Linked DNA regions of Alligator mississippiensis. The protein of the gene in region 2 purifies or fractionates together with the protein of the main gene of each other region. This does not show direct contact. Links are inferred from orthologs where the notes say so. Each region holds a gene or a part of one and is shown on either strand. Other genes may lie near its edges. The genes, in order: CSK and TNS2.

Region 1 (15,712 bases), on a different chromosome or scaffold from region 2:
GAACTGGCTGAGGGTTGGTGTAGGGAAAACAGAAATGAGGTTAGAAGTTTTCTGAGGAAATGGTAGTAGCGCTGGTTTCTTGTGTGTCCTGATGCCCAAAGTGATACGTAGTCTTGATATCTTACCTACTATTAGTCCACAGTCAGTTTCAGTTGTGAAAATACATAGTGTATATATAGTATAGCTTGCTAATTGCCATAATATCTAGGTGCTGCCAGACCAGACTCATCAGATGTTTTGATTGTATGTTGGATCCCTTCCTACCCCCTGCTTTGCTTTTAGGGCATGGATTGTAACATGGTTGCAAGGAGCCCAGCACATTGGGTTTATAGATTGGGTTAAACTGTGTTGAAGGCAATGGGTATTCTCAGACCCATAACCTTTGTGTAACCAGGCAGCTGAAACCACAGAAACACCCCCACCCCAGAAAATATGCATGGGATAAAACTGGACTCAAAGGTGAACTGTATGGCCCAAGAAGTTTCCTTAGGGGTAGATACAGCAAATGCAGGCACTGGTGTGTCTGGGTATTTCTGAGAGAAGCAGCAGCATAGACTGAGAAGCTGTAAGAGAAGGAAGTGCCAGCCACAGCTACAGGCCTAGTTGATATATAAGGTTAACATCCGTGGAGCAATGGTTAGTCTCTCCCTTGTTATTAGACAGGGCTACTGGGTATATGTCAATTGATTGACAACTAAAAAGAAAATGGGGACAGGAGCAAGGTCACAGGCTAGGAGCCAATGGACTCTGCCCTGTGAAGCTCTGCCCAGAGACGTGAAAGGACCAGGGACAGGACGACCATCCTGCAGTCCACAGAAGTCCCCAGGGGCCAGAGCCTCCTTCCTGGTCAGGTAGATTGCTAGCATGGCTAGGCCTAGTTACAGGTAGTTTGACCCTAAAAAAGAGGCATAAGAGCGAGATCCTTTGGGGCATGAGAGAGAGATCCTGTCTGCCAGAGGTACAGAGCTATGAGCAAAGAAACTGCCTCCTGTTACTTGAGTCTCTGGTGGTTGAGGGAAACACTGTTCTGTGCAGTCGTTGTAAACAACCAAGACTGCACACGATTCCTGATTCCATCCTCACTTTCTCCAGCTAACTGGAGAGACTTTGGAGGCCCAAAAGTTGGCTGAAAGCAGAGCCCATGATGCTTGATGGCCACTTGCCCAAATCTCCACTTTTCTACCTCCCAGCCAGCTCCGAGCCTTTGCTTCTTCCTTTCAGAGGCAGACCCGTGTCTTTGGCACCTCCAACCTCAACCAGAAGCAAGAGCTGGATGCTGAGGGTGTCTCACCACTGCCCTCCAACTCTCTCATCCACTCCCAAGTTTCTAGATCAGGGCTTTAAGTTTTGAAAGCCCCGGTAGAGGGGTAGGAGGGCCTGCTTCGGATCCCCTAGCACAGCTGCTGCCACTGAAGGGGTCCGGAAAGTAGGCTGCACCCCCGCCTAAGAGGCTGAGCCCCGAGGTGCTGCGCCCTTTAGCCCAGCGGAGCGCCCTCCCGCCACCGCGGTGCCCCGGGAAGCCCAGCAGGTGGCGCGATCTCTCTGCCCACGCCTCGGCCAGGGATGGGGTCGAGCCCAGGCGGCGCAGGCGCGCTGCTCCGGGCGGACGGATCCGGGCTCCGCTTCCTTCCACCAGGCCCTGCGAGCTCCCCGCTGAGCCCGGTAGGGAGCGGGCGGCCGCGGGCACAGAGCGAGCGCCAGCCCCGCGCCCGTCGCCCCGCCTCGCCTCGCCCCCGTGAGGAGCAGGCAGAGCCCCCCCTTTCCCCCGGGCCTCCCCTGCCCAGGCCGGCAGGGGCCCGAGCAGGCGCGGCTGGAACGCGGCGAGCCCGAACGTTCGGAGATCGAAAGCTCTGGGTGTTCCGCAGCGTTCGAATTTGGAACCCTCGCTGTGGGCGCTGCTACATTGTTTCCTCTTCCTCCTCCTCCTCCCCGATCCCTCCCTTCCCCGATCCCTCCCGCCCTGGGCCCCGCTACCCCCCAGCCCTGCTTCTACCCCACCCCTTTGTACCTCTCGCTTCCACCCCCGGCCCAGCAGTGCCCAGGCCCCCTTGTCCCACCCCGCCGCATGGAATACCCGGCAAGTGGCCGAGCCCCACGCTGAGCAGCCGGCTCCCCGGCGTGGAAGCCAAGCCAAAGACAGATCGGAGCCTGGAGAGAGGTGAGTGCTCCCGCCTGCCCCCCTCTGACCCCTCAGTACTCGCACACTTCGGGGAGGGAAGGGAGTGGTTACTACAGGGGCCCAGGCTGCGTCCTGCCCTCCCCCTTCCACAGCTTTTCAGTGTGATCTGGGCTTGGGCAGACTCCAGGATCCCAGCTCTCCCTCCTTGCCATCTTCCTGGTGGGTGGGTGCCACCCTTGGGTGTCCCTTAGGCACCCTCTGCTCGCAGAGTAAGGGAGGGAAGGGTCTGACTCCAGCTCAGCCTGGGGAGAGCCATCGGGCACTTTGCGGGAACCTTGCAGGGGATGCATACGGGCACTTCCTGCTCCCCAGTCCCAGGGGACCGTCTGCTGGGGGCAGGCTCAGTGCTGGTATCGATGAACCAGCACAGCCTTGTCCCTGTGACCAAGTGGGGAAGCAGAGAGAGAAAAGACTTCTTACATGGTGTGTGGGTTTCCAGAGCACGTCCATCGCTCTCCTACTTGGCCTAGGCCTGTGAGCTCTCCCTCCCCCACGCCCACCCCCACCCCAGAATCTCATTTCCTTGTGTGATCAGACTGGGGTGTGCTGAGAAAGTGGACTCTGAATGAGCGAGCTTCCCTCTCTGCCTTGCCCTGGATATAGCATGAGGCCTGGGGTGGATTTGAGTTACCAGTTTCCTGTTTTATACCTCCCCCAAATAAGCCAAGAGGTGCCCAGCTGGAGGGTTGGGAGAAGGGAGAGGAGCTGGCTTGCACACAGGCTCTGGACTAGGTCCCTCCCGCCTTGTTCCTCCTTGGCAGACAGGCATGTTCCTGAAGGATGGCTCTCAGAGCTGTGGCAGCCCAGGGTGAGATGACAGCAGCTGAAACAATGGGGACTCCATCATCCCTGCCCAGACCATTGCTGCCTCTCCTTCTGCAAGGAGCTGACAGGTTCATAGAGCACAGCCCGTCCTCCTCTGAGATTTGTGTGCTCAGGGCTCTGGCTGACGGTCCACAGCCCAGGGATCAAGCGTGCAGGAACTCATGGCTGTAGTGTAATACGTATTGGCTTAGTCTGGATGATACACTGCTGCTGTCACCTCCCATGCATTTCATTGTAGGCAGACAGCCGGGCTACAGCCAGTATTAGCCTTTCAGCTCCGCATTGTGGAAAACAACCAAGCTATTGAATGCTGAGAGTTTGGATTTTTGCCCCTCCACCTCCCTCCCCTCTTGACAATAAGTGAGTCATATTGCTGTGAGCTGGCTGGGGGACAAGCAGAAGGTCTGGGTTACGGCCTTTGGTTTGAGATCAGGGCAGCCACCACAAAGGAGCCATTACCGGACGTTGCCCGGATGGGTGAGTGTGGTGGTGCTGCCATTTTTGAAGCTGCGGTTATGGGTTTGGTGGGATCTGTGAGACTATTTACTTTTTTTATTTATTTTTTTTAAACATCCAGTGGTTCTTTAGTGCGTAGCGGAGGTGAGCAGGAGGGGTGACTTGACAAGGTGTTTAAACGTCCGGTGAAAACTTAGGAACATTGACTTTCGCTCTGTTACTTTATGTCTACAGACTTCTGCTCTCTTACATTGAGAATAAAAGGAGCTGTGTCCTCCCGCAGCGTTTTGCTGGCCCGTGGAATTCCAGGCTGTTTGGCAGGAAATCAAATAGCCAAATGGTGCGGTTGGAATGAAATGGGCCGGATAACTGTGTGACCTTGGTGGTTTGGGGTGGCTCAGGCAGAGGAAGAATTGACCCTCGGGCTTCAGGGCATAGGCAGGGGTCAGGAAGGAATTTTTCCATGTTCCACCCCTACGGTACATGTGCTGGTGTGGAGAATTGGTGTGGAGCCTTGGCTATGCTGGCGGACAGGTACCAGGGGTACCATGCTCCATGGAACCAGCAGTTGCCTCCAGCCTATTTCTCTTTTCAGGTTTCCCATTGTTCACTCCAGCAAAGGTTTACACCTTTGCTGATTGGGCTGGTGCTTCAAAGCATGGAATTCACCCTCATCCCCATGCAAGCTTGTTCATTTTAATTCAGGCCTTTTATTTCATTCTCTTTTGTTTGCTTTCTTCTAGTGCTGGGTCCCTTTGGAGTTGCCAGGGCCTCCAGGTAGATGCAAGGGACTGCCGGTCTATGACCCTTTTAATACAGAGGGAACTCTGGAAAAATGTTGAGTGTGCAGTGGGACACAACACTCGCCCCAGGATGGTTTATTCAGGGTTGATCCTGCCTTGAGCAGGGGGCTGGAGTAGATGGCCTGGTGAGGTCCCTTCCCTGCTTTTGTGTGACTCTTTCTCGGAGGTGTTCTTGGCTCTGGAGTTGAAAAGAGAGAAAAATCCCATCCACCTTTAAAATTCAATGGGGTGTGAGGAAATCTGAGGGAACAAGTGGTCTTAGTTCAGGAGAATAGCTACTGACCCCTTGGCTGGTGATTGGTAAGGCCAAAGGTGGCCTGGCCCCCTCCGTCTGATCCCTGATGACTGTGGGTTGCAGGGGGCAACTTTCCCAGCTGTTGCCTATTTTTCCTCCACCTGATGACTTTGGTGGAGCTGCCCCTGCCTGCCCCATGGCTGTATTTTGTTCTGTGTGTGTGTGGTTCTGTGTATGTGTTTAAGGTTTTCAAATCTAGCTGCTCTGGGGGGTTCCCCCAGACAATCAGCACAGGGTGCAGGGCTGAGTCTGTGGCTGGCCTCTTTTCCCCTCTGTAACAATTTCCCATCAGTGCTACTACTCGTTCAGCACCACTGCCCTGTAGCGAAGGGGGTAGGAAGACTAGAATAGTAATGGTTGCAGCTGGCAATAACTGTCTAACCCAGTGGTTCTCAACTTTGGTAGACTCAAAACACCCTTCAATCAGACTTGAGGACCCCCTCAGAAAATGGCAGCTCTTGGCTTTCACTCATTTCTTGAATGTGGAAAAATGCTTCCTCAGCCTGATGAAGGGTGTCTTGCTAAGAAGAATTTTTTCCAACTATTTGAGTTGGTCTAATAAAAGATATTGGATTTACCCAAAGAACCTTGTCTGAAAAATACCAGAGCAGTTCTTCTGTTGCAAGGGACTCGGAAAGCCCACGGCAGGGAGGAACGGCTTTGACACCCTGGATCCCTGTTTGAAACCTCTGGGTTTATCTTGTGAATCTTGTGTAGGTGTTCACACACCTAAGGGTGCTAATATGGCACAGCATCCCACAGCACCCTTGAAAAGATCTCATGGCACCCCAGAGTACTGCAGCACCGTGGCTGAGAATCGCTGATCTAACCCATTTGGGGCAGATCCATATGGCTAAAACTCAAGCTGTGATACTGCTTTTGTAGTTGCTGTCATTCATACAGTTCTGGAGATGGCAGGGGTGGGGGGGGGGAGTGTTTGGGGGGCGGAAAAGCATAGGGTAAACAGTAAAGGAAGTGAATCTTTCTTATCTGTGTAAACTGTCAACCTTCACTGCTTCCCTCTATGGTGAAACTCGCTGTCCCAGCACGTGTGAAGCTCAGTTACTGTTCTCTCGCATGGTAAAGCTGGGGATAAAAGAAAATAAGATGACCCAAGCTGTTTGGAACCCGATGGGGCTGGCTTATCCCACGAAACAAAGAGACCGTCTTGTCTGTCTGCCCCCGTTGTATTGCAGATCACGTCAGAGCCCGAGTTCTGTTGTGCGCGGCAGTCCCCTGTCGGTGCTGGCTGAGTCGAAGGCACAGTTTCAGTTCAGTTTGCTCAGCTCTCTTTGGCTGGGTTGCAAAGCTTTTAAACCTCAGAGGTAGCCTGCCTGCAGTTTGGGCCTCCGTTTGACTGAATTGCAAAGCTGAAGCGAAACCAGTGGAAGATACTTTTGGCCTGATTTACAAGAACGGGGCATTTGCGAGATTTCATTCAAGTAATTTCCCAGGCAGTGCCCTTCAACTGGTCCTCGCACTGCACACGGACTAGACTTACGGAGTTGGACGCATGGTGCTAGCCTACATTTGGGGGGAAGGAAGGATAGATGTTGACACTGGTTATACTGGTGTGATCCTTTAGTGGAGAAATAGCAACCCTGTGCCAATCATGGCTTGGGATGTTGTGATTTTGGGGTTGGTTGGTTAGAACCTGCCTGAACCCCAGGCCTGAGCTGAGGTGCATAGATTAGCTAAAAATATACCAGAGGAAAAAAAAATCAGGTGTAGGTGGGCTGAGTTTAAAGCACCTGTCCCAGAATAGTTCCTGTTATTATAGGCATCCAATAACATCAGCTTTCTGCCAAATTTTCTTTCTCCTTGCGGAAAAAGTCCTTTCCACGAGACCAAGACCCTGACTAGAAAAGAGAGGGGCATCAAAACCCACTGTATATTTCCCGCGCTGTGAAACTCGCACAGCCCAACCGATCAAGCAAAAACATTCTTCTTTTGTTTTTTCTTTTTTTCTTTCAGTTATGGTAATTGTGGGCATTGCGTGTTATGGCAGCAGATACAATCTTTTGCTGTGCGTTGAGGCTTTTTTTTCTAAGTTCAGTTTCATTTCATTCAGGAAGGGGAAATATAAGTTGAGCATTAGGAAATGTCTGATATTGGGATCTGGTCACTTAGGGTTAGATCACCCCAGGTGTTAAGTAGGGTGGGTTATCAGGAATATTCATAGGGTCCAGGTCTTGACTGCTAAGCTTTTTGTCTAGAATGGGGTGGGGGGGGTCGTCTAACAACTGGCCTGCAGGGTTTCTGGAGGGGCAGGGAATAGGGCTGGGGGATGAGTGAGGGTAGGGCCCGTTGCTGAGTTCTGGGGTACGGAGCCCAATTGGGGATGTGTGAGAGTGGCTGTGGGGTGAATGATGGCTGCATTAACCCTTGCTCTGCTTCTGGGGGTGGGTCCAGATCTGGCCTGTCATCCTGATCCTCCCCGGGGAAGGGGGCAGGCAACCTTGGCAGCCCTGGTTTACAAGGAAGGCTTCTGTCTTCTGGGAAGGACCTGTCATATCTGAGTGCTGCCTCCTTGCCTCTGAGGGCAGAGACCACTCCGGTGCAGCTGCAGCTCCCAACCTGGCCCAGCAGCAGAATGAAACCCAGGAGACTTTGATCAGTTTTAGTCCTCCTTGTAGAGGCAGGAAAGGTGTGAAACCCAGTAGACTTTCCCTTGTGGGAGGGTGACCTTTAAGCAGCAGCAGAAACCAGTCCTAGGCCTGCTTGCTGCATGGGAGGATTTGAACAGTGGAGTGGGGATGGCAGGTGGGCAGAAGATGTGGGCACTTTCATTAGAGCTGCCAAGGTACGGGGGCAGGTCAGCATGTACCCAGCCATCAAGAGAGTGAGGAGGCCTGGAGCCACAAGGATAGTCGCTCCTTCCAGCCAACAGCTGCGGACAAGCCGAGTGGGGGATACAAAGGATGAGGCCCTGTATAATTGAGGCATCAGCTAGCAGGGTGAAGAGCGACAGACATCAGTGCTTTCTCCCTGGCTTGGGTGAGGGGTCACCTCTGATCACTCCATTTCCCACTTCAGTCTGCTTCGAGCAGGGGCCAGGGACAGCCTCTGCATAGGAATTCCCACGCATCCCCTCTCCCCAGCTGCTGGGAGTGGGAGCAGGATTTCTCTCTTGTTGGTAGGACTTCTTTCCCAACCCACGGCTAGCAGGTCAGATCTGCTGGCTAGTTGATGGTTGCTGAGTTTTTTTCAGGCCTGGCTGTATCTTGTGGAATGGGCTGTGGTTGGGAGTGGGTGACGCGGCCATCGGAGAAGTAGAATCTACGGTCGTAGCCACTGCCGGACAGTTGTGAATCAGCCGAGGGGCGGACTAGGGATAATCCAGTGGGATTTGTCCGGTGGCTTTAAAAAAACAAAACCAAACTGGCAGAAACAGTGCTACATTCACCCACTGTCAAAGCATCTTGTGCTCTGCCTGCCTCCCCTCCCTCCTATAGAGGGAGATCAGCTCCAGGGGAGGTCCCTACAGACCCGGGAGCTAGGCTGCCTAGGGAGCCTACGCTATGATTTCCTTATTGTGTGCAGCAAAGTTGTGAACTGGGTTTGAAATGAAAATGCACTGTTTCCCATGCGCACGCCCCCCCACCCTCCCTGCCGCTCCTCCGCACTCCCTGCCCTTGCGGTGGGGTTAGGAATCGATAGCATCTGGCCGCCAAGCGCACAGGCGGATGGACCGGAGCGACTGTGCTCTCAGCTCCCGGTGATTGCAACCTCAGCTCTTGGTGCAGGATTTTCCTTTTGCATCAGGCACTGTGGGGGTTTTTTCCCCCCTTCTTCCCCCCTCCGTCCCCCTCTCTGACTGGAGGAACTGCAGGAGATGAAAGAGAAGCGGGGATCTCTCAGTGGAGCCCGGCAGCCACCGTCTCACTGATTCCTTTGCTTCTCTGCTCTCCTGTTATGTAACCAAAGATGCTTCTCAGCTTCTGCTCTGGTCTTGTAAGTTTTTCTTTCCCTCTCTTTCTTCCTCCCCACTGTATCCCCCCCATACCACCTCCCCCCTGGCCCTGACCCACCTTGGAAAGGCATAAATAACTAAGACTGGCTGAAAGGCTGCTGGCTGGGCCCCGTGCTGCAGAGGCTCAGCACTGCATGGTTAGGATCTGCTCCAGTCCTCTGCCTGGTGCGATGGCGTTTGGCCCAGGCAGCCTTCATGCCACCGTAGATCCCAGCAGCCTCCACCATTGTAGAGAAAGGCTCTGTTATAGCCTGTGGCTTCAATGGCTGTGCAGGTCAGTCGGTGGTGGTGGTTGCGGGGGTGGATCCCTGGTCTCTCTGCTGCAGGCAGTGATGAGGAGGAGTGTAGGGGAGAGTGTGTGTGTGTGCTGGGGGCAGGGGTGGCCAGTTTTGAGGGGGATGGAGGGTTGGGCTTGTCACTTGGGTTACCCCCCACCCCACCCGCCAGCAATCACAGGGTTCACATCTGCTGTGCTGTGGGATGAAGAAGCAGGTGCAGGGTGACGAGGGAGATCGGACCAGCTGTGGGATGGGATCTGTGGGGGTGACTATGATTCCTCCTGGTTCTGATGTGTGGGGGAACATGCTGAGCAGGGCATCTGGCTGAGCAGCTGGCTAAGCCTTGGGTTTGAAACTCCTGTCGCCCGAGTCTCCTTTGCATTAAGGCTGAGGCTCCTGCCCAAGCCTCGCGGCTTCTGCTCGCTCGGACCCTCCCTCTTTGTTTCCAGAGTCAGGTCGATGAGAATTGAGTCCAGAGACCCCCCCTCCATTGACTGGCAGTCAGGAATTGCAGCCGGTTGCGCTCGTCCACTTTCCCCTCGGTTGGATATGCAAGTTCCGTGAGGCTCGGCTCTGTGGTCAGTCTTGGCGGCTGTGGTCCAGTCTGTGCTGCAGTGATGGGAGAAATCCTCCTGGCATGATGGAAACATCAGGCTGGCTTGATTGTGCTTGGCTGCCTTTCCTTCCTTCCTCCCCTAGGCCAGCTGGGCTTAGACTGGCGGTTGCCTTCCTCCCCAGAAATGGCTGCACTTGAGTGGTATTGCATGTGTACAGGTTGCAAGCATGGTTTCAAGTTCCCCTCTGTAGGCACCATCTTTGGAAATACAGTGGAAAGGGGCTGCACCTTCCCCCTTGATCCACAGAAGGTTTTCGCCAGTTAGTGAGGGGGATGTTTTAAATAACCTTCCTCACCTGCCACCTAGCCCTAAACTCTACCTCCCCACCTCCCCCCCACTCTACAAGCCTTGGCAAGGAAGCCTTCCAGCATGCCACTAATTCAGGCTCCAGTAGAGCAAGTGAGGAGCAAGCCCCAGGGTTGAGGTTTCTCCTAGAGTGTCCCAGCTTTGTCAGATAGCAGTCAGCAGCTGGGAGAGAGCTGTGATTTCATAGGGAACCAGGTCCTGAAGCGTAAAGCTTTGCATTGGTGCCTTGAGTTTATGGGAAAGTAGGGCTGGAAGGGACCTTGTGAGGTCACCTCGTCCAGCCCCCTGCTCGAGACAGGATCATCTTTGAGTTTCACCTGGATGTGTGTCGGCAGGTGGGGGCATCTCTCGGAGCAGGGCAGTGGTGTGCTCCTGACGTGTGGCTCCCCCCGGGAATCCCCCTGCGGCACTGTGTGCTAATCTCAGCATGCAGCAGCGCTGGGAGCTTCCGTTGCTGCCAGGTGACAGAGGCATAGGTGACTGTGGCAAGGTCCTTACAGTGGAGAGGAGAGGCTGCCCCCTTCCTCCAGGCACCCGTAGGAATCACACTCTTGACCTAAGGGCACCCCAGCCTGGTACAGGACAGCCCCTGCGACCCTGGAGATAGTAACAGCAATTGTAGAAATAAGCAGCTTTTATATGTCGACTGTGGCTCTTCAGGCTGTGAACTCTGAGCCTCCAAAATAAGCAGGCCATTGTTTTTGAAAGCTTGCACATCTCTGATTTAGTTAGCTTATTGCAGGGGCGGCCAACCTGTGACACAGGCAGTGTTTGTGGATTTGCCCCTCACAAAAGCAAGGCATCTGTGCGGGGGGTATCTTGCTGCAGTACAATTTCATTGTATTGAGTTCAGCAGAGCCGTTGGGGAATCGCTTGTGATCTGGTGTTCTTGGCTGCATCCAAAAGCCCAGCGAAGCCAGCGGGCATCTTTCTGCTGACATCCCTGGGTGTTGGACCAGTTGCCCTGGAGCAAGTAATGGAATAAATCAGGTAGGGACCTAGCCCAATGATTGCAGGCTTCAGACCCACTGGAGAAGCTGGTAGGATGCTGGAGAATCAAAGTCCTATTCCTGGACCGTTTGCATCCATAGTGATGACCTGTGGCTGCTTAGCAGGGGAGGTGGGAGGAACCACGGAAGCTGCCTGTGTTCATGGACAGCACAGACCCCTCCCCCTTTCCTAGGCCATCTGCCCATGTTAAGGCTGAAGTCAGCTTCCCACGTTAAGCCTATTCCCACCCACATGCAAGAGAATCTGCTCCCATCTCTCTCTCAAGGCCGGCAGCAGCGTCCATGTCAGAAATGCCACTCTCTGGCCTCCTCCCTGGCCCTCTCTGCAGGCCGGACCTCCAGACATGTGGGCAGAGGGGAGGACTCCACACTACGCCTTTTCTGTGTTGCCTTTGCCCTACAGGCAGTTAACCTTTCAGGATCCACTAGCTTGGAGGGGGGAAGGGGAGGGGATCAGCTGCCTCTGGTATTGATTCGGTCTCGGCTCTGACACGAGGGTCAGTAGATTTGTGCCAGGGCCGTTATCTGCGGGTTCTAACCGCTCATCGTCTCCCAGGATGGGCGAGGAACCACAGCTGGCAAAGAGCCTCTGGCCCAGCCCGGTTGATCACTTCTTCCCCACTCCCCTTCCCCCACCCTTGTCTGTATTTCCTCCTGAAACAGCTCGTGGCTGGAGCTTGCCTCCTCTCCAGCCAAAGCAGGCACATTTTGAGGGGGAGGAGCCTATGACATGAACTGTGGGCTCCCAGAGGGACCCATCCAAAAATAGCAGGGCTTGATCCCTTTTCCCCTACTTCCCTGGCCTCAGAGAGGGCATTTCATCCAGAGATGTTTGCTGAGCTGCATCAGAGCGCCTGTGACTTCTCCGTGAGCCTGGCTTGCTGATGGGGAAGTGGCACTCGGCGGCATCACAGCAGAAGAGATATGACCTCTTAGTGCAATGGATGGGTATGGTCAGGGTGTCGGAGGAGGCAATGGGCAACTGGGGTCTGGCCCAGCAAAGGAATTTGGGTGCCACTTCCTGACCCCCGGCTGAGGAGAGCCAGGACTGGCTTCCTTCCTCTCCTTTCCCATGTGAGTTTGGTCTGTGCTGGAGATAAACTTGGATTTTATTAGTGGAGGGCAGGACCAGGTGGCTGGTGATGGGTGGCCCCTTCTGTTCCTGTCCTCTGGACCCTTTCCTTATTGTCACAGTCATCATCACAGTCCACTGATGTGTGCTCCCCTGACCCCACTCCTTTCTCCCCCTGTAATTCGGAGCCACTGGTATGAACTACAAATTGCTGAGTAACAATTGAAAGTCAAACTACAACTTAAAAATAACCCTCAGGGAGGAAGAGCCCATCTAAAAAATATGGAAGAGGAGGAAAGGGGGATTTCCAGAGCATTGGCCACGGCTGTGTCTAGCTGCAGCTGTGTCAGTTGGGTTGCAGTCCTATCAGCACCCATGAGTTAAGGAGAATCGGTTGGGAGACCGTCAGGGAAAGTGCAGGTACATCAGGTGGTCTTTTACTGAGGCAGTTCCTTAGCAGGTTCATAAGGGGCACTGTACCACAAGAGACGCTGTCTGCTGGCCAGAAACTAGGTTTTGACTTGCTAAGATTCCTTTGGATTCTGTTGGAAGCCTGGGAGTACGACACTTCGCCTTCCTGAATTTATCCCTCCTGTTAGAGATGGTTTTACTCCTTCCTTCTCCTATCTCGTTAACAGGGGCACAGGAGCAGAAAGTAAAGGACAACACGTATTTCACCCCAGAGTGGGCCACATTTCAGCATGGCCAAAGCCATCCCTGTATCTTTGCCACCGGCAAAGCACATTACGAGTCTGCAGGGCAAGAGAGCATTTGATGAGGGTTGCAAGCTGTTAATGTCACTCGTCCCCAGCAAGTGATGCATAAAGAAGAGTTTATTCAATACATTTCTCCATCTCATCTGTTCACAGCATGTCAGCAGACAGATCCCAATTGTTCTTGCATTTAGCTAGAAGTGAATCCATGGGCATAATAGAGTCGATCTATTCCCTGGCTGGCTGTTTGAACTGATCATTCAGTAGCCACATGCATAGCTGGGTTTCCTGGTTGGATATATCCTGTGTGTGTTTGCCTGGCTTCGGGTTTGCTTTTTGCAAGCGTTTATGCTCATGCACTTCAATCGCTGCTGTGATGAGGGAAAGGGAATACAAAAGATGTGCGAATGCGGCTGGAGGCAATTCATTAAAAAAAGAAATATATGGCTGTGATGACCTTGATTGTAACGCTCCTCAGTTATATGCAAACACCATGGATATTAGTGGGGAGAAGCTCTGAGATGCATTAGCCCTTATTGCAGGGGTAGTACACCTGCAGCATGTGTGCCACAAGTGGCATGGGCAGCCTCCGTGTGTGGCATATGGCAGATCAGGGAGGACAGGGACCAGAAAGCAGAGCAGCAGATCAGGCCTGCAAAGGGGATCAGTGTGGCTGTTGGGCAGGGTGTGGAGCTTAATTTGTGGCACATCAAATAAGTTGGCTCCCTGCTGCCTTATTGCTTGATCTGAAGGAGTAAGTCTTTGTTCCTTGCTCACAGCAGGTATGGTGACTCTGAAAGGGGGATTCTCCTGTATACACCAATGTGGCTGTATCATTAAGTAGGGTGGATGCATCTCATTAGTTCAGTCTGGGCTGTTTTATTGAGATGTTCATTGAGATTTGGTTTTAAATCAGGGATGTTAACATATCCAGCCTCATGGGCTGAATGGGGGGTATGGGTCTGGTCTGTACTGGGGCCTGCACACTGGTCCAGCATAGACACCTCATGCAGTGCATGCCCTAGACAAGCCCTGGCCCTGTGGTGCATGTGCAGAGCTGGCACGGGGCGGGCACCACATGAGGAGCCCGTGCTGGACTGGCCCTGAGCGTAGGCTCCAGTGCCTAGGGATGATGTGTAGGCCCAATCTAGTCTGGCTTCAGAGCGGGCTTTCAAGGCTGGTCTGGCACAGGTGCTATATACAGTGCATGCCCCAAACTGTCATGGACACCACCCATGGTGCTGGTTCTAGTCCCATGCATGGTTTGCAGCCTGTGCCACCCTAGCCTCATGAGCCATATCTTTGACACCCTTAGTTTTAATGAATTTTAATTGCTTATTGCTGAGTCTTTGCTGTGCATGTCTTGTGTTAGACTGTCTGGTTTCCTAATGGTGAGCAAATTGTCAGCATTCATACTGAGAATGGTTTCTTTTACTGCTTTGTCACATCCTCTGTTTAGCTGAATGCCTTTGGGAAGCATGGCTGGAAAGCCATTGGGATCGCTGAATTCTTTGGGATGAGGGAGACAGATACAAGTAACTGCGTCAAACCTCAAGGTAGAGGCACACTGTTGGCTTAAATCAGGGGTGTCAAAGATGTGTTCAGGGGTCCAGAAGAGGCTGGGAATTCAGAGGCAGGGCCCAACACCAAATTCCAGGACATGGAGCCCCATTTGCAACATGCTTCAGTGACAGCATGGCAAGCAATGGCAGCGTCTCTGTCACAGTGGCTTAGACACCTGTGGCAGTTCACATCCCTGCTGCTCACCCCTGGGTCTGGATACGGCCTACAAGGAGTCCTGCAGTCTGCACCCCTAACCCCCTACCCATGCAAGTAATACCTGTGGCTTAATTTAAAGCTTGCAAGAGAGCAGCATGTAATACCAGTGGTCTCTGACTGCAGAGTAGGGATACGCTGATGCATTAACTAAAGTCTTGGAGGAGAATGGTTTTCTGCAGAAAACCGACACTTCCAAGGGTGTACAGATAAGCTGCCATTCAGATCTCATGTTGTTCACCTAACCGAGACTTGGCCAAATGAAGATGTACCACAAAAAGCTTCTGCGCGCTGTTGTGCTCATCTGTGCTAGAGAAGCCAAGTTCTGGGTGCCCTCCATCCCCTTGCTATGAAAAAACAGCAGAGTGGAAGGCAGTGCTGATAAGCAACTAGCTGGAGCTCTGTTTGCAGCAATGGCACAGCTGATGCGTCAGACTTCCACACCACCAGGAAGTAACCTGCTGTAGATAGGCTGACTTAGGGTTTGCAGCTGGAGGGTGATCAGACTCTCAGCTTTTGGAAACTTTTGAAGACCCTGTCCTCTAGGTCGGGGGTTCGCAACCTTTTACCTGAATTAATGCAGCTCAGTGCTAAGGCGGGTCATTGCTAATGACCCAGTCACCACCACTGCCATCGATTCGCCTTTCCCCACCTTTGTAGCCCATTAAAACCTCTTTGCAGACCAAATCTGGCCTGTGGGTCAGAGGTTGCAGCCCCTGCTCTAGATCAGTGGTTCTCGACCTCTTTTGTACCAGGACCCATTTGCAAACATTGATGGCTGGTCCCAAACCAGTGCCCCTCACTCCCAACCTGTTGCCCCCTGCCCCCAGGCCTCAGCCCAACAGTGTATGAGGCAGAGGGTAGGTGTGTAGGGCAGGGTGGGGGTGTGTGTAGGGTATGGGTGGCTCCAAGCAGCTGCTTGCAGGCTGTAACTCTGCCAACCTGCAAGAGAAAAAGCCAGTTCCCCACATTTTTCTCCTTCAAAGGAAAATCCTATTTTAAAGTTTGTTCGTGACCCTTTCATATATATATTCTTGTGACCCATGGATTGAGAAATGCTGCTCTAGATGACTAAATAAGGGTTTAAGACAGTGATTCTCAACCTGGGTGCCACAAGATCCTTCAACAAGTGCCATGGGGTGCCATGCAATAATAGCACTGTGTGGTGTGCAAACAGCTAAATGCGATTTGCAAGATAAATCCAGAGATTTCAAATCGGAAACTCGGGTTATAAAAAACAGTCTGCCCTATTGGGTGTCTCCGAGTCCTTTGCAATAGAAGAATTGCTCTAGCATTTTTTCTGTAGTCAAAAAGTGAGTGAAAGCTCAGAATTGGCATTTTGCAAGGGGATACCTTGAGTCTAACAAGGGTGCCTTGAGTTTAATAATGTTGAGAACCGTTGGTTTAAG
Region 2 (15,635 bases):
CAGCCCCTCTGTACTGGGATGGAGGGATCCTGGCCCCCCTGTACTGGGATGGAGGGGTCCCAGCCCCTCTGTACTGGGATGGAGGGATCCTGGCCCCCCTGTACTGGGATGGAGGGGTCCCAGCCCCTCTGTACTGGGATGGAGGGATACTGCCCCCTGTACTGGGATGGAGGGGTCCCAGCCCCTCTGTACTGGGATGGAGGTATCCTGGCCCCCCTGTACTGGGATGGAGGGGTCCCAGCCCCTCTGTACTGGGATGGAGGGATCCTGGCCCCCCTGTACTGGGATGGAGGGGTCCCAGCCCCTCTGTACTGGGATGGAGGGATCCTGGCCCCCCTGTACTGGGATGAGGGATGCCAATCTCGTACCTGGCAGAAATTTTGCTGTAGTGCATGTAGGCCGCCACGATGACGCCCGTCTTGCCTTTGTTCCCCTACACCAAGGAGGGTGAGTCAGGGGGGTCGCACACAGCAAGGCCCTGGGGCGCAGGCATGAGAGCCCAGCCTGAGAGACCCCAGTCCCTGCTGCCCCCCAAACCCCTCCAGGGGCTGCCCCCACCTCTGCCAGTCCCCTCGGCCCAGCCCCCCCAACAAACCCCCCAGCCCTGTCCCCACCTTGCAGTGCAGCACAGCGACGTGCTGGGGGTGCGCGTGCAGCCAGTTCTCCATGGCCTTGCAGATGGAGCAGATCCTGTCCAGGGGGGGCGCGTGCCCATCCGGCCAGCCAAACTCCTGCACCTGTGCAGCCGGTGGGGTGGGGAAACAGAGGGTATGAGCTGACCACATGGCTCCCCCACCCCATGCACCTCAGCCCCCCCGAGCTGAGCACCCCCTGCTCACCTTGGGGTTCAGGCGGGCGATGTCGTGGCGCTTCTCCGACAGGTTGAAGAGCTGCAGGGGAGAGCGAGAGGCTTGGGGCTGCAGGTGGGGCAGGGCCCCTACACACCCCCAGTGCATGGACCCAGCCCCCTGGTGCCAGCTGTGGGGAAACTGAGGCACAGCCATGCACCAGGCCAGACAAGATAGCAGGGAGCAGGAGCTTGACTTCCAGCACAACCTGCCCCGCTCCCCCCAGCTCTAACCACTAGGTCCCCACCCCTCCCAAGCCAAGGGGAAAACCCAGGAGTCCTGGCTCCTGCCCCTGCTGTAACCACTAGGCTCCTACCGTGTACTTGTCCTCATGCTTGGACTTGAGCATCTGGGCCACCTCGCAGAGGTGGCCGCGGTAGCGCTGCTCCTCCAGCCTCGGGGGGAAGAAGACGGAGATGATGCGCTCGGTGATGTACGTCAGGTCCAGGTCGTAGGCGCGCTCCATCACTTGGTCCAGGCTGAAGCTCCTGGTGGGCAGGATTATGAGCAGGGCAGGGGGTCTCCCACCCCACTCTCCTCCAACAGGCATGGGGGTCCCAGGTCTCCCCTCGGCCGTGCCCTTGGCCCCCTCACCTGGGCAGGGTGCTCCGCTGCTTCCCCGTGTTTAGGGACTTAGTGGAGCCCTGGAAGACAAAGGGGCGGTCAGGGTCCTGCCTTGTTTCACGGGCATTGGGCAGCCCCGGTCTCGCACGGGTTCACCAGGGAGCCATGTGCGAGGACGGTTTCCCCTGGCCCCTTCACGCCCCGCCAGCTCCAGCATGCCAGCCGGGGCCTGGGGGCTTTGGGGGGCATTCCCGATGCAGGGGCCGGGGGACTCACCAAGTGCTCGATGCGCCGCGTCGGAGCCGTGTTCCTCCTCTGGCGTGTGGGAAAGAGGGAGAGAGGAGAGGGGGGATGGAGCCAGATCCCGGAGCAGCCAGGCCGGGCGCGCAGCCAGCGGCCCTGGGTCAGCAGCTGGAGCCCGTATCCCTCCCTTGACGGCTGCACGGATGTGTCGGAGCAGGGGAGGGGGATGGGCCGGGACCCCCGCATCCTGGGAGCTGGACACCCGGCTCCCTTAGCTCCTGGCTCTGCAGCCAGGAGGGTGCAGCTGTGGGGGACGGCGAGGGGCCCCAGGCAGAGGCGGGGGCTCCTTCCTGACCCCTGCCTGTCCAGGAGCATGAAGGTGGAGGCAGCTGCCGCATGCTAGCGATCCCCCCGCCCCGCAGCCTCAATCCTGCTGGGCCCTGCAATGCCCTGAGCTGCACGAGCCCCTGCTCCTCCGGACCCCCTGGTACCAGCTGTGGGCTTCGGGGAACCCCGAGACTCCCCGCCACATTAATGCCCCGCACTCACCAGCTCAGGAGGGGGCGCCGGCTGGCAGGACGATGTCACCTGGGAGCAGAAGGGACGGGGTCAGCACCAGCCCAGGCGCCCCTGAGTGCCAGCCCGGCCCCCCGGCCGTGACGCCAGCGTGACGGGGCAGGAGGCGGCCCCGGCGGGGGGCTGGGGCTGTTTTCCTTGGCCCCTTCCCGCACGAGCACACAGAGGCCGTGATTCACGGCGGGTGGGGGGGGGTTATATATAGAGCAACACAAACAGGCCGCGCCCAGACATGCACACACATACACACGCACACTGGGGCCATTCAGCCCGGACCCCTGCCCACCACTGCTGCGGTGACCCCCCTTCGACTCAGCCCCCCAGGGGGACCCCGGCCCCCTGCTCCGGCAGCTAGCCTCGCTCCTGGCCTGGGCACCCCGATGGCACCCCACGGCAGGGGGCAGCGCCAGGCCAGGGTGGGGGGACAGGGCTGCCCCCCCAGTCAGTGGGAGTTGATTTGCATATGCAAAGATGACATCGCCACTCCCCCAGATGCCCCGCCCCGCACTGCTCTGCTCCTGCCGGTGCCCCCCATCTCGATCTGCCCCTCCAGCCCCTTCTGGCTGCTGCCAACGGGCCCTCCCCCTCCCAAAGCCCCCAGCCCTGAGATACAGAGCAGCCTCCTCCCAGCTTCCGGCGCCCAGCCAGGGCCTGGGAAAACATCTGGAGCAGCTGGGGGCGGGGGATGCGGGAAGCCAGAACCACCAGGGAAAGGCGTCAATGGCCACCCGAGGAGGGGAAAACCGAGGCACGGGGCAGGGGGCACTGCCAGGCTCTGCTGCCCACCTGGGGAAACTGAGGCAGGATGCAACCACCATTAGACCCCGCTCTGTCTCAGAGCTTGGACCAGGACCCAGGAGGCCCCGGCCCCGGCCGGCTGGTCGAGCCACTGACCCCTCTTCATCGTGCCCGGGGGAAACCCAGGAGTCCTGGCTTCAAGGCCTCCCCATCTCCCCAGCAGCCCTTGCTCCCTCTCCGGGGGGACCCCAGGAGTCCTGGCTGATGCTCCCCTGGCTCCCTCTGCTCTCAGCACCATGTCCCATTGCAGGGACCCAGCACCCGGCACCCAGAGAGCTCCTTGGGGCCATGTCCTGCCCTGCAGCAGCACCCATGGGCACCGCTGCCCACCCGGTACCAGCCCAGGACCCCGTCCCTTTCCTCCTCTCCTCTTTCCCTCACTCCCTCGCTTTCTCTCCCATCTCACATGCAATGGAGACACACGCGCGTGCACACAGGTATGTGCCCCACCCCCGATAACCCCCCCCACCCCCATGCTGCCCCCTATGGGGGGAGCTGGGAACAGCGGCTGTGGGGGGGCTGTGGCATCCATCCCGCTGCGTTACCTGGGGGCAGCAGGACACTTGCTCTCTGGGCTCCTGGCACCGCGAGCAAGCCCTGTGCCCGTCCCTGCCCTGCACGCCGGCTGGCCGACGGACAGCACTGAGCCTGGGGCCTGCTGTAGCTGCAGCCCTGGCCCGGGGCCAAGGCAAACCCAGCCTTACACAACCATCTGCCAGGGCTTAAAGGGCCAGAGGAGCCTGGGCCGGGGCCCTGGCTTCCCTCCTGCTGAACTGGCCAGGCTGCAAGCTTCCCCGCAGCAGTGCCCTTGCAGGCTGCCCCCTCCCCCCCCACTCCCCATGAGCCCCTCTGCCTGTCTCTGCACATCCTCAGCCCAGGTCCCCTGGGAGCATCCGGGACCCCTGCTCTCCTTGCCTCCCAGCAGAGATAAGAGCCCGGGTCACGGGGAAGGCAGAGGAAGTTGGGGGGGGCAGGGGACACGGTCCATCCTCTCTCCTCCCCCAGCCAGCCCCAGCACAGTCCATCCCTAGAGCCACGTGCCAACTGGGCTGGACTGGGCGGGTTGGCTCTGTCTCCTGTCAAGGGACACAGGCCAACTGGGCCCCCCCCACCAGGCTCTTACCTTGGCTTCGCATTTCCGGTGGCTGGCAATCTTACACACTGCGGGCAGAGAAGGGGGTCAGGGGCCGCGGTGCCTGGGTGGGGGTGATGCTCTGGGAGCAGGGGGTCAACCAGCTCCCCGGCACCCCCCACTCCCGTATTACCTTTGCAGATCAGCCCCTGGGCCTCGACGGGCTCCTTGCAGGCGGCGCAGGCCCGGTGCTTCTTCTTGAACACCTTCTCGCGGAAGCTGTGCGGCTCTGGCCCCTTCCCTGGCTGCGGAGCAGAGACGTGGCTGGGCTGGTGCCGTGGGGTGCTGGGTCCCGGCCCTGCCTGGGCACCGTGCACAGAGCCAGCACTCACGACAGGCCTCCCCCCAGCCGCATTCCCAGGCCCGCGGCGGCTCCGATTACCCCGCATCGCCCCAGCTGTCCCACCGGAAACGCCGCCGCATTCCAGCCGCGGGAGGGGGGGCAAATGCCGGCGTTCCCATTGCAGCCTCCCCCAGCCCATGCATGCCCCCCTGTCTGGGGCCTGATGCAGCAGGCCTGGGGCTGCGGTCGGGCCCGGACGCCTGGGTTTTATCCTCAGCTCTGGCACTGACCTGCCGGGTGACCCTGGGCATGACCCCTCTCCTGAACACATCGCCTAGGGTATGAGGAACCAGCTAGGGTTGTGCCCCCATGACGCTGCCCCCAGACCCACATTGCCTGCTAGCCAGGCCCCCGCTCTGCTAGCCACGCTCACGGCCAGCGTTGGGGCAAGGGCTCCAGCCAGGACCCGCGTCCCCCAACTTCCATCCACACCTGGAATGAATAAGGCAGGGCCTGGGGACACCCGGCAAGGAGGGGGCTCCTGGGAGATGTAGTCTGGGGCAGGGGCCTCGGCAGTGAAAGCTGCCCTGTCTGGGCCAGGCTGAATGGGCGCCTTTCACGCGCCGGCCCAGCTATAAATAGCCATGAATCGGTCCCTTTGTTGCAGCCGGCGGAGAACACGAGTATCTGTGCTGCAGGGCAGGATTGGGGCGCGGGGCGGGGGGCTGAGGATGGAAGTGGGGGGCTGCCAACAGCAGGGAGCCCCCCCAGTCCCAGACCTGACACCCCGGTGATGGGCTGGGACAGCCTCAGCCCTCCCAAGCCGGGGCACGGCCAGCCACAGTGGAACAGCCGGGCCACGGGGAGCCCGGTGCACACATGAACTCACACCCACCCCTGAAGTAAAGGTGCCATGCACGCATGCACCAGTGCGCACAAGTGTGGACACGCTCGCTCTCCTGAGTACACACCGATGCCTTATGCATGCACATGCCCCTCTGGCACCTGCCCTTGCACACTCCCCTTGCATGCACAGGCGAGCCAGGCAAGCAGGGCCCTGAGCCCCGGCCACGGCTGGCGGACAGAGTGCAGCTCCCGCCTCGCCTCACCTCTTACCGGCATCCCGAACGGGGAGGGGGCTGGCGCCTTGTGCCCTGGTGTGCCAGGGGGGCTCCAGGAGCCGGCCGGGCTGGGGTTGAGTCCTGCCATTGGAGTCCCAGGAATCTGCGCCATGGCACAGCCCTTGCCAGTGCCCGCCCCCCCCTCCCACGGCTAGGCCCGGGCAGCAGAACAACATGTTTACTCACTGGCTCCGTCCCACCGCGGCGTGTCAGTGCCCGCTATTGTGCGCGTGCCCCAGGCACCGTGCCCGCCCCTGCCAGCTGGGCCATGACATGGGGGGCTCCTGCTCTGGGACCCCTGTGAGGGGCTGAGCTGGCAGCTGGGGAAATGGCGGGGGGGGGGTTGTGGGAGAGAGGAAAGTGGGCAGAGATACGGAGGGTGGGATGGAAAGGGCAAGAGAAGGGATGGGGCGGGCAGCAATGGGGGAGATGCCAACCTGGTCAACGCCAGCCCCGTGCTGGCCCGGAGACCTCAGCATGGCCCGGGCAGGGCGGGGGCTGTTCCCACGCCCCCGTGACAGCGGGATGGGAGTCTCCCTGACAGCTGGACGCTGTGTTCCCAGTGCAGGAAGCGAGAGGGGACAGGCTGGGGCCGAGTGCGGGCACTGAGGGCACCTGGGCATCCTCTCCTCTGCTCTCTGCACCCTCTGCCCTGCCTGCTGCAGGCACGAGTCAGCCCCGAGCCCGCCAGGCCCTGCCCTGCCTCACACACTGCACATGGGACCCCCATGGGGGATTTTACTCCTGGGTTCTCCTGCCCTGGCTCAGATGCAGACATGCACTCGCACAGACACATACATGTATACAGACATACATGCACACAAACATGCTCACACACACATGCACGCAGATGCACACGCACACACACAGATGTACACACACACACGTAGGCATGCGCACCCACACATGCACACACACCTGTGCACATGCAGATGCACATGCACGCACAGACACAGGCAGGCAGACATGGGTAGACATGCAGATGTGCACACAGATGCATACAAACATGCATGCAGGCATGCACATGCATGCAGGCAGAAGTGCATGCCCCTGCACAGATGTGACACGTGCAGACATACACATGCTGTGCACATACCCAGGCACAGGCATGAAGACATGCATGCACGCGCACACACGCATGCAGAGCCAGGACCTGGGCTGAGATTAGGTAGCTCATTGCACACCTGGGCAGGACAGAGGCTCGACTCCCACCCCTCTGCCCCCACCCCCAGGTACAGCCTTGGCACTCAGAGGCAGCTCCCAAGTCACTTGGCAGGAGCCCCTCGCGCTCGGCACTGTGCAGTGAGTCTGGGACAAGGGCACATGGCCCCTCTAGTCCAGCCGAGCCTGGGAACCGGGTCAGACCCATCCCTGGCACCTCCCACGGGGACCCACTCTGCGCCTGGCCCCCAGATCCCCAGGGGTCCGCTGTCCTGGACCACCCCTGCTCCCAGGGGAAACTCTGACCCTCCCCGAGCAGAGCTGGGCGGGGGTCACACCTACCCTGCACGTGCCTGGCGCCCGGGCACTGCCCCTCCGCCCCAGCACCCGAAACAGCACGTCCAGCGTGTCCCGCGGCTTCATGGCCCGACTGTGGCTGGCCTGGGCAGCCCCTCGCCCTGTCAGCACAGGAGCGGGGTCCTGCTGGCCAGCGCCTGCTTGCCCGTGGGATCGGACGTGCAGCTGGAAACAATGAGGCAGGGCCGGCCTGCGGCAGGACGGGGCTTCCTGACGCACAATAGCTCCTTCCCGTGGTGCTGAGGTCATTGCCATGGCCCAGGGCCTGCCAGGGTCCGGGGTCTGCAGTGGCCTGGGGCTGGCCCAGGCAGGCTGCATGCCCCACAGGGGACCCAGGCAGGCCAAGGGAGCCCGAGGAGCCAGGGGAGAGGGCAGGCTGAGCCCTGAGGGGTTCGTGACACCGATGACACCGCCAGCATCGGCCCTGAGCCAGGCAGGATGCAGCTCGGCTCCGGCCCACTCCCGGGGCTGGACCTCGGGTTGGCGTCAGCGCCGGGGCCTGCCAGGGACGGGGCAGGGTGGGGGCTGGCCGCGCGCGCTGACATCAGCTCTCAGCAGGGAGAGGCCGGTGCACAGGGGGGCACAAGGACGTGTGCACATGCACATGTGTGCAGGCAGCCACCACACGTGCAAGCTGGCCCGGACCTGCACACGTGTGTGGCCGCATCGCATGCAGCGCTGCCCCATACGGCCTCCCACACACCTGCTGTGACACACGCAGCCTCCCCCAGCTCCAAACACACACAGCCCCCGCACTTGGGCACGCACACGTGCCCCCCCCCCCACACACACACATTCCCTGCCTGCCCCCAACCTGGCCCCTGCTTTGCTGCCTCCCTGTCCTCCTCCGTGTCCTCGCCAGGACCTCGGGCTGGGACGCGCCTTGCCTGGGCCAGGGACTTTCCAGGCACTTGGTGCCCCCGCCCCGCACCAGGCCTGGCCCCAGCCCCTGCTCTGGCTCCGATCCGAGGGGTGGATACAGGCCGGGAACCTCCGGGGGTCTGGGGCACCCCGCTGCGCGCCAGGAGCTGCACAACCACGGCTCGCACCCCCGGGGCCATCCTTGAGCCCCCAGCCCATGCACCCCTACAGAGCACCCCAGGCCCCCCAGGAGCAGAGCAGCCCGCTCCAGCCAGCCTGGGGGGCCAGGGCGAGGTCCCTGCTGTGGCCCCCCACATCCCAGGGCGGGTCCTGGGGCACCGTAATGCTGCTAATATTCGGGCTGTGCTTCCCCCTGCAGTGACTCCCCCCTGCTCAGGGCTAGAAAAGCAGCCTAGCCTCTCCCAGCTCCCGCCCCTCTTCTGGAGCCAGGGCCAGGCCTCCGCAGGGGGTCCCGGGCAGTGCAGCCCCCGGCCCCCTGGGGCTGCCGCGTGCAAGCCCCTGTCCCTCCAGGCCTGTTGCACGAGGCCCCTGTCCTACAAGGCCCTGCCGCACGAGCGCCCCGTGGTACGAGACCATCGCGCGAGTGCCATCGCACCAGACCCTGTCACACGAGCCCGTTGCACGAGGGCCGCCACTCGAGACCCTGTTGCACGAGACCCTGTCACAAGCCTGTTGCACAAGTGCCGTCCCATGAAAGCCCATTGCGCGACGCCCTGGCACACGAGCCCGTCACACGAGTGCCGCCACACGAGCCCGTCACACGAGTGCCGCCACACGAGCCCGTCGCACGAGGGCCGCCACTCGAGGCCCTGTTGCACGAGACCCTGTCACAAGCCTGTTGCACAAGTGCCGTCCCATGAAAGCCCATTGCGCGACGCCCTGGCACACGAGCCCGTCGCACGAGTGCCGCCACACGAGACCCTGTCACATGAGCCTGTTGCACGAGTGCTGTCACACAAGACCCTTGCACGACGCCCTGGCACATGAGCCTTGTCACACGAGACCGTGTTGCACGACTGCCCTGTCACACGAACCCCCCCCCTCCCGGTCCAATCCGGAGCGGCCCCGTTCCCACGGCCGCAGCAGCGCCCAGCCCGGGGGGGAGGGGTCTCCACGGCAACGCCTGGAAGCACCGGGGTTATTATGGGCTGGCGGGAGCCTCCCCCCCGCCCCGCGGCTGTGCCTGCCCCGCCCCGGCGTGGAAACGGAGCGCGGAGCGACTCCGGATCGGCCCCGCGGTACCTTCATGGCTCCGGCGCCGGCTCCGGGTCCGCGGCCGCCGCCCTCACCCCCGCCCCGGGCCGGCTTCCTGCGGGGCGGGGCCGCGGCTGCTCCGCCCGGAGCGCCAGGGGTTAATGAGGGGGCAGCCCGCCCCCTCCGCCCCGGGGCACAAGGGGTTAAGCCCGGGCCAGGGGGTGGGTCGCCCGGCTCCGGGGCAGAAGGGGTTAATCGGGGAGAGCCCTGGGATCCCCGGGCAGAAGGGGTTAAACCCTGGGGATCAGAGGGGGATCATCTGGAGGGGGGGGTTGAGGTTTTAGACCCCCCCAGGGCTGAAAGGGTTAATGCGGGGTGGGGGGGGGGGCGGTTAAGGTCTGAGACACCCCCCCCTCCAATGAGCAGAAGGGGTTAATCTCCAAGGGGTGGGAGTCTCCCTGCAGAGCTGAAGGGGTTAACCTGGGGGCGAGGGGGGGCACCCCCAGCCCAGCTACTGGGGTACCAGGAGGGGTTCGTGCCCCCCCACAGAGCGGAAAGGGTTAATCCCAGGGGTGCCCCTCCCTCCCAGTCCCAGCCCTGGGGCACAGAAAGGGTTAACCCCCTCTGCGTGGGGCGGGGCAGCCAGGAGCAAGAAAGGGTTAATGTCAGAGGTCTGCCTGGCCCCCCACCCCCGAGCTGAAAGGGTTAATAGGACAGTGCTCAGCTGGGCGGGGGGCTCCATCCTGCCCCCCTGCAGCACCTTGCTGGCACCTCTCCCACCCCAGGCCTGGGGGCAGGATCTGCCCCCCTCAGGGGCAAATTCTCCATGGGGGATGGAGAGCTCTGGGGGCGCCCCCCTGTGGCCTGGCCTTGGGGGCGTGGGGGAGGCAGGACTCCTGGGTTTTAAATCCCTGGGGCTGGGCAAGGAGGGTCCCCGGTGTGACGAGTCTGTCCGGTCTCAGCTGGGCTACGACCCCCCCCCCCGGGAGCTGGGGACCCCAGAACCCAGCGCCCTGCACCCGACACTGGAGCAGCTGTGCGGGATTCGAACCCACGGCCCAGGAAGCTGCAGGCCTGGGCGGCTCGGCTCTGGCAAGACTCGGCCCCCCCACTCTCCTGCTCCCCCGCTTGGTGGTGGCATTTGGCCCATTGCACCACAGAATTACTTTAATTACCTTTGGCTAATTGCAGGAGGCTTCATTAACCCCTCAGTGGGCAGGGCAGGGGTGTGCTCTAGCAGGCCCCAACAGCAATAAACCCAGGAGGTGGCACAGCTCCCGCCCCCTGCGCAGATCCAGCTGCAGCCCAAGGGACCCCCTTCCCCGCCCAGGGGGCCCAGTGCCCGGCACTGCGTGCCACACAGAGCTCGCCATCCGGCCACCTGGGCACTGTCCCAGGAAGCCACAGCAGGGGCAGCCAGGGAACGGGGGTGCAGGCCCACGTGTCCTGGCAACCCCTCCGCTGGCTCTGGGTGTGGACGCCTCTGCCAAAACCCGCTTGCCGCCTGCCAGCGCCGTGGGCCCGGGAAGCCTTGCCCCATCCTGCTGCCCCCGGGCCCTTTCACGCTGCGCCCGGACCTCGGGACTCCCTGAACCAGGCTTGAACCGAAAAAAATGTAAAGCGTTTCCTGTGCTGGTTCGGGATCAAGGCTGCTGGGGGGCAGGGGCAGGGCTGCGGAGGAGGCCTGAGAGGTGGGGGGCAGAGCAGGCCCTGTCTGGGCACCCCCAGGATGAGCCCCCCCAGCAGCTGGGATGCTTCCTGGGTCATGATGGGCAGGCACCCAATTGGGCATCTCCACGGGAACACACCTGGGGGAGGGGGGTGCCATCCTCATGCTCCAGGGCGGGAGAGCCGGGGTCAGGAAGGCTCCGGGAGCTGGCTGCCACCAGGGCTCCGGGCAGTGCGAGGTTAAGTGAGCGCGGGAGCTGGCAGGGTTGTCACCCGGCGCCTGGCTCCAGCTCCCTGCTCCAGCGCCCGGTTGTGACGCCGTTTGCAAAACATCTTCTGCCAGGCCCTGACCCCCCTGCCATCACCCCCCCCACGATACTCCGCTCTGGCCCTGCCACCCCCCATGCCCCTGCCCACCATGGGGCTCTCCTGGCCTGCTCCCTGCCCCCTGCCCCGACCCCACAGGCATCGCACCTTGGGCAGCTGCATCCGGCCGTGGCTCGTGCGGGTCCCGGGCGCTGGGGGCCCCTGACAGCAGCCACGGTCCCAGCAGCGGGCGCCTGCCCCCCGGCCCATGCAGTCTCCCCCGCGGACGCAGCCCCACGCTGCCTTCTTCCTCCGCACTGTTTTTTTCCTCTGGATCTTGCAAACTCCACCTCCTGCTCCACTCCCCCACAGCCCCCCCTTGGCTTTGGCATACACACACACACACGTGCGCGCGCACACATACACACACACACATACGCACACGTACACGCACACGCACACATGGCTTAATCATAGTTCCCTCTGTGCCAGAGCAAACTTGGCAGTGCCAGCAGGAGCCGGGATCTCACCCGGCTCGGGCCCCTGGAGCAGGTGGAGAAGGGAGCCCGGGACTGGGGGGTGATGGGGAGGGAGCCCCAGCCCCGGGGGGTTCAGACCCCGGCGGAAGGAGGTGTGGACGGGAAGGGGGAGGAGAGCCTAAATCCAGTGGCGGGAAGGGGATAATTAGAAACACATTCCCGCTCCCACATCGGCTGCGGTGTTGTTCTGTGGTGATGTGTGTGTGTGTGTCCGTGTGCGTGTGCACACACATGTGTGCATGTATGTGTGCTCATGTACCTGCCTGTCTTCTTGTGTGCCCATGGGCATGTATGCAAGTGCATGAGTGGTGTGCATGTGTCTTTATGTGTGCGTGCATGTGCATTGATGTGTGCGTGCATGTATGCATGCGCACATAGGAAGCTAGGCTGCTGTCCCCAGCCCTGCCACTGCCCTTCCCTGGCCCCTTGGGCTTGTCACTCATTGCCCCCAGTTTTCCCTCAGAGGTTCATGCCAGGGCCTGGCCCTAGTGTCCCCTGGCACAGAGCCTACGCCCCAACCCCGGCTGCGTCATGGATGGATAGGGTGGGGGCACTGGGGTGACGGCTGCAATGCTGGGGGTGATGGCAGGGCTGGGGGGGGATGGGGGATGTTGGGGTCAAGATCATCCAAAGTTCAGCCTTAAAAATAGCCCCTTCTTTGTGCTGCTGTTGGAGGATGTTGTACAACCCTCTGGGCCCTTCTTCCTTGAGGCCTCAATGCCAGCATGTGGGCAGGGGAATCGCAGGGGTCCTCGTTTGTTCTGCCCTGAAGCGAGATCACAAGTGGAGCCAAGTGACATCGTCCCTCCATGGTGTGACATCACCGAAGGAATCCTGGGGGCTTTGTCATCCGACGGTTACATCATATCCATCATCCAGCACCGTTGGCCGTCCGTGGGAACCCCGCGGTGCCCGCAGGTGAATGGGATGATGCCACTTCCCATTTAGGACATCACCGCTTTGAGCCAGGTATCACCGCCCCTTGCTTCTTGACTAGACCTGCAGGACCTTCCAGGTGGACTCGGGAGATGATGTCATCCCTCTGTGCACAATGGGAATCCTCTTCCTGCCCCACATCTGGATTCACTGAGGTCGCAGCTGGATGTCCGAGCAGTACGGGGAGCGCAGGGCTCTTTGTATCGATCCCCGCGCCTAGAGCCAGCTGCCTGGGCTGGAGCAGGGGACTCGGAGCCCCGGGACGGCCTGCTGGCCTTGGCCATGGGCTGTTTCTCAAGGGGCCCAGGCTTGCGGCCTGCTGAGCTGCCCAGCTCTGTCCCATTGCCTTCTCGCCTCCCTGGCTCCTGGGGCCCTCTCCTCCCTTGCTGTCCTGGTGCAACAGGGCCCCAGGCTGTGCAGGGACTCCCCAGCAGGCCAGAGTCCTGAAGGAGGCTCTGATGACCGGCTGCTTCCAGTGGGCACCCCAAACACGCCAGCTGCTTCCTCCCAGCAGGAGGATCTGCCTCCAGCTCACTCCTTCCAGGCCTCGTGCACCAGGATCCAGGCGCGTGGCTTTGCCCGCCCTGCTGGCGCTGGGGCTCTGGGCCAAGAGGGCAGAGGGCCAGGAGTGGGGAGGCACACTGGCAGCTCCCTCATGCCTACCGTACTGTCCCGAGGACAAGCCGAGCCTGCCTATAAGCCAGCCCTGTGCTTTTAGCCTCAGTCTTAGGAAAACTGGCTTTTCCCCCTGCAATCTCAAATCTCATGAAGTTCAACAAGGATAAGTGCAAAGTCCTGCACTTAGGACAGAGCAATCCCATGCACCGGTGCAGGCTGGGGGCTGACTGGGTGGGCAGCAGCTCTGCAGAAAAGGACCTGGGGGTGACAGTGGGAAGCTGAATATGAGCCAGCAGTGTGCCCTTGTTGCCAAGGCTAATGGCATCCTGGGCTGCATTGGTAGGTGTGTTGCCAGCAGGTCAAGGGAAATGATTCTTCCCCTCTATTTGGCACTGGTGAGGCCATATCTGGAGTCCTGGGTCCAGTTTTAGGTCCCACACTGCAGAAAGGCAATGGACAAGTTGGAGAGAGTCCAGCGGAGGGCAATGAAAATGGTTTGGGGGCCGGGGGACATGACTGATGAGGAGAGGCTGAGGGAACCAGGCTTATTTAGTCTAGAGAAGAGGTGACCGAGGGCAAATTTAATAGCAGCCTTCAACTCCCTGCAGGGGGGGTTGCAAAGAGGATGGAGCTGAACTGTTCTTGGTGGTGGCAGATGACAGAACAAGGAGCAATGAGCTCATGTTGCAGCAAGGGAAGGTTAGGTTGGATATTAGGAAAAACTCTCTCACTAGGAGAGTGGTGAAGCACTGGAACAGGTTACCCAGAGAGGTAGTGGAGTCTCCATCCTTGGAGGTTTTTAAGACCCGAGTAGACAAAGCCTTGGCTGGGATGATGTAGTTGGGGCTGGTCCTGCTTCCAGCAGGGGTTGGTTAGATGCGACTCACTGAGGTCCCTTCCAACCCTCCTGTTTTACAATTTTATGCTTCTATCTAGGAATATACGAAGTACCAGACTGGGTTAGACAGATGGTCCATCTAGGCCAGGATCCTTTCACCGACAGCAGAAGAAGTGGATACTATAGCCTAGAAGGAGAGCGTTGAACCAGGCACATCCAGAGTGATCTGCCCCTGTTCAATACCATCCCTGGTATCCAACATTATAGGCCCAGAGGTGCCAGAGGAAACATCTCCAGCTGTGTTGTTCAACAGCCAGCAGTAGATCGATCAGCTGTGAATTCATCCAGTCCCTCTTCTGGAAGGAAACAGGGTAGGCTTAGACTCAGAGCAGTGCAGGCTGCTGGCAGAGGACCTCTGGCTCGAAGGCATTCATCATGTCAGCAGCCCTAGGCCCTGCTCCCTGCAGTGCAGATCCCACGGGCCACCACCGAGCTGCTCCCCACAGGGCTGTGTATCCGTGCCTAGCTGGAGAACATCTCCAGGAGCAGGGCTGGGAATTGAACCCAGGACTACCACAGCTCAGCCCAGCGTCTGATCCACCATTGCACCTCCCGGGAGGGAGAAATGCTATCCTTCTCAGTCCTGCGCAAGGGGCCTAGGAAAGAAGCCCAGGGAAGGACAAGTCACTGGGGCTGGCCTCCGAGCCAGGCCCCTCTGGCCTGAGCTGATGGTGCCCCTACCCCAAAATGCCCCCCCTGCGGCTGCCCGCTTGAGCACCCTCGTGGACAAGGAGCCTCCTGAAAAACAGAAAAGATGCTAGCAAGATCAGCTCTCTGGCAGCAAACATTAGGCCTCTATGTTTGTACAACGCCTATGGCACCTGGTCCCTGGAAGGACAGCAAGGAGGGGGATGGAGACCAGGCTTGGCAGAGTCCCACTGGCCTCGTGAGAGCGGCGCAGACCCCACATCCTGTGTGTGACCACAGCCGTGCGCAGATGTGAGTCATGGCCAAACAAAGGAGCTTTCAACATCTGGGCTGGGCACCGGAGCCCCCACCTCCGGCCGGGAGCAGGCAGCAGCCCAAGCAGGCCGGGCTCAATCCGGATCCACATGGCTGGGAGCAGAGGGGAAACACTGCCAGCCGAGGGAAGAAAGAAAATGTCTTGCCCATTGGTTAGACCACTGGCCAGCAGCCCCTGCCCACTTTGACATGGGCCCCTTGGACACGTAGCAGAGCAAAACCCTGTAGCCTCATCCTGTTGTGGGGTGATCAGTGGCATTGGGGGTGTGGAGCACCAACACGGAGCTGAGAGCGCGCCCAAACCAGGCCCAGAAACCAGCAGCGCGCGGGTCGCATTCAAGGCAAAACCAGGAGACCCATATGGCGGAGAAGCTGCAGCTCCTTTCCTCTGCTGTGCACGTATACAGCACCGTGCACTGGGCCAAGGAGAGAGAAAGCAGAGAGAAGCCTGCCCCAAGGCCCCAGCTCAGGTCCCTCCCGGTGCCTGGAGAGTTTCAAGGCTTCATTAAGGTGTAATGAGCACCCCAGAAGGACGGCACGGAGAAAGC

Evidence for each region.
Region 1: the proteins of TNS2 (region 2) and CSK purify together in Homo sapiens (affinity purification with mass spectrometry; 6 studies listed by BioGRID and IntAct, with this or other methods). This does not show direct contact. The link is inferred for Alligator mississippiensis from reciprocal best matches to the Homo sapiens genes TNS2 and CSK.

What each region holds. Positions count from the first base shown.
Region 1 is NC_081834.1:41,570,322-41,586,033, reverse strand, and holds the start of CSK (tyrosine-protein kinase CSK), read left to right. Parts: upstream 1-8,470; 5' UTR 8,471-8,485; coding exon 8,486-8,512; intron 8,513-15,712. UniProt on the Homo sapiens protein: Non-receptor tyrosine-protein kinase that plays an important role in the regulation of cell growth, differentiation, migration and immune response.
Region 2 is NC_081838.1:9,348,500-9,364,134, forward strand, and holds the start of TNS2 (tensin-2), read right to left. Parts: upstream 7,789-15,635; 5' UTR 7,402-7,788; coding exon 7,069-7,401; intron 4,407-7,068; coding exon 4,295-4,406; intron 4,191-4,294; coding exon 4,153-4,190; intron 3,679-4,152; exon of another isoform or gene 3,575-3,678; intron 2,244-3,574; coding exon 2,205-2,243; intron 1,728-2,204; coding exon 1,689-1,727; intron 1,493-1,688; coding exon 1,443-1,492; intron 1,337-1,442; coding exon 1,165-1,336; intron 891-1,164; coding exon 840-890; intron 738-839; coding exon 615-737; intron 434-614; coding exon 369-433; intron 1-368. UniProt on the Homo sapiens protein: Tyrosine-protein phosphatase which regulates cell motility, proliferation and muscle-response to insulin. Phosphatase activity is mediated by binding to phosphatidylinositol-3,4,5-triphosphate (PtdIns(3,4,5)P3) via the SH2 domain.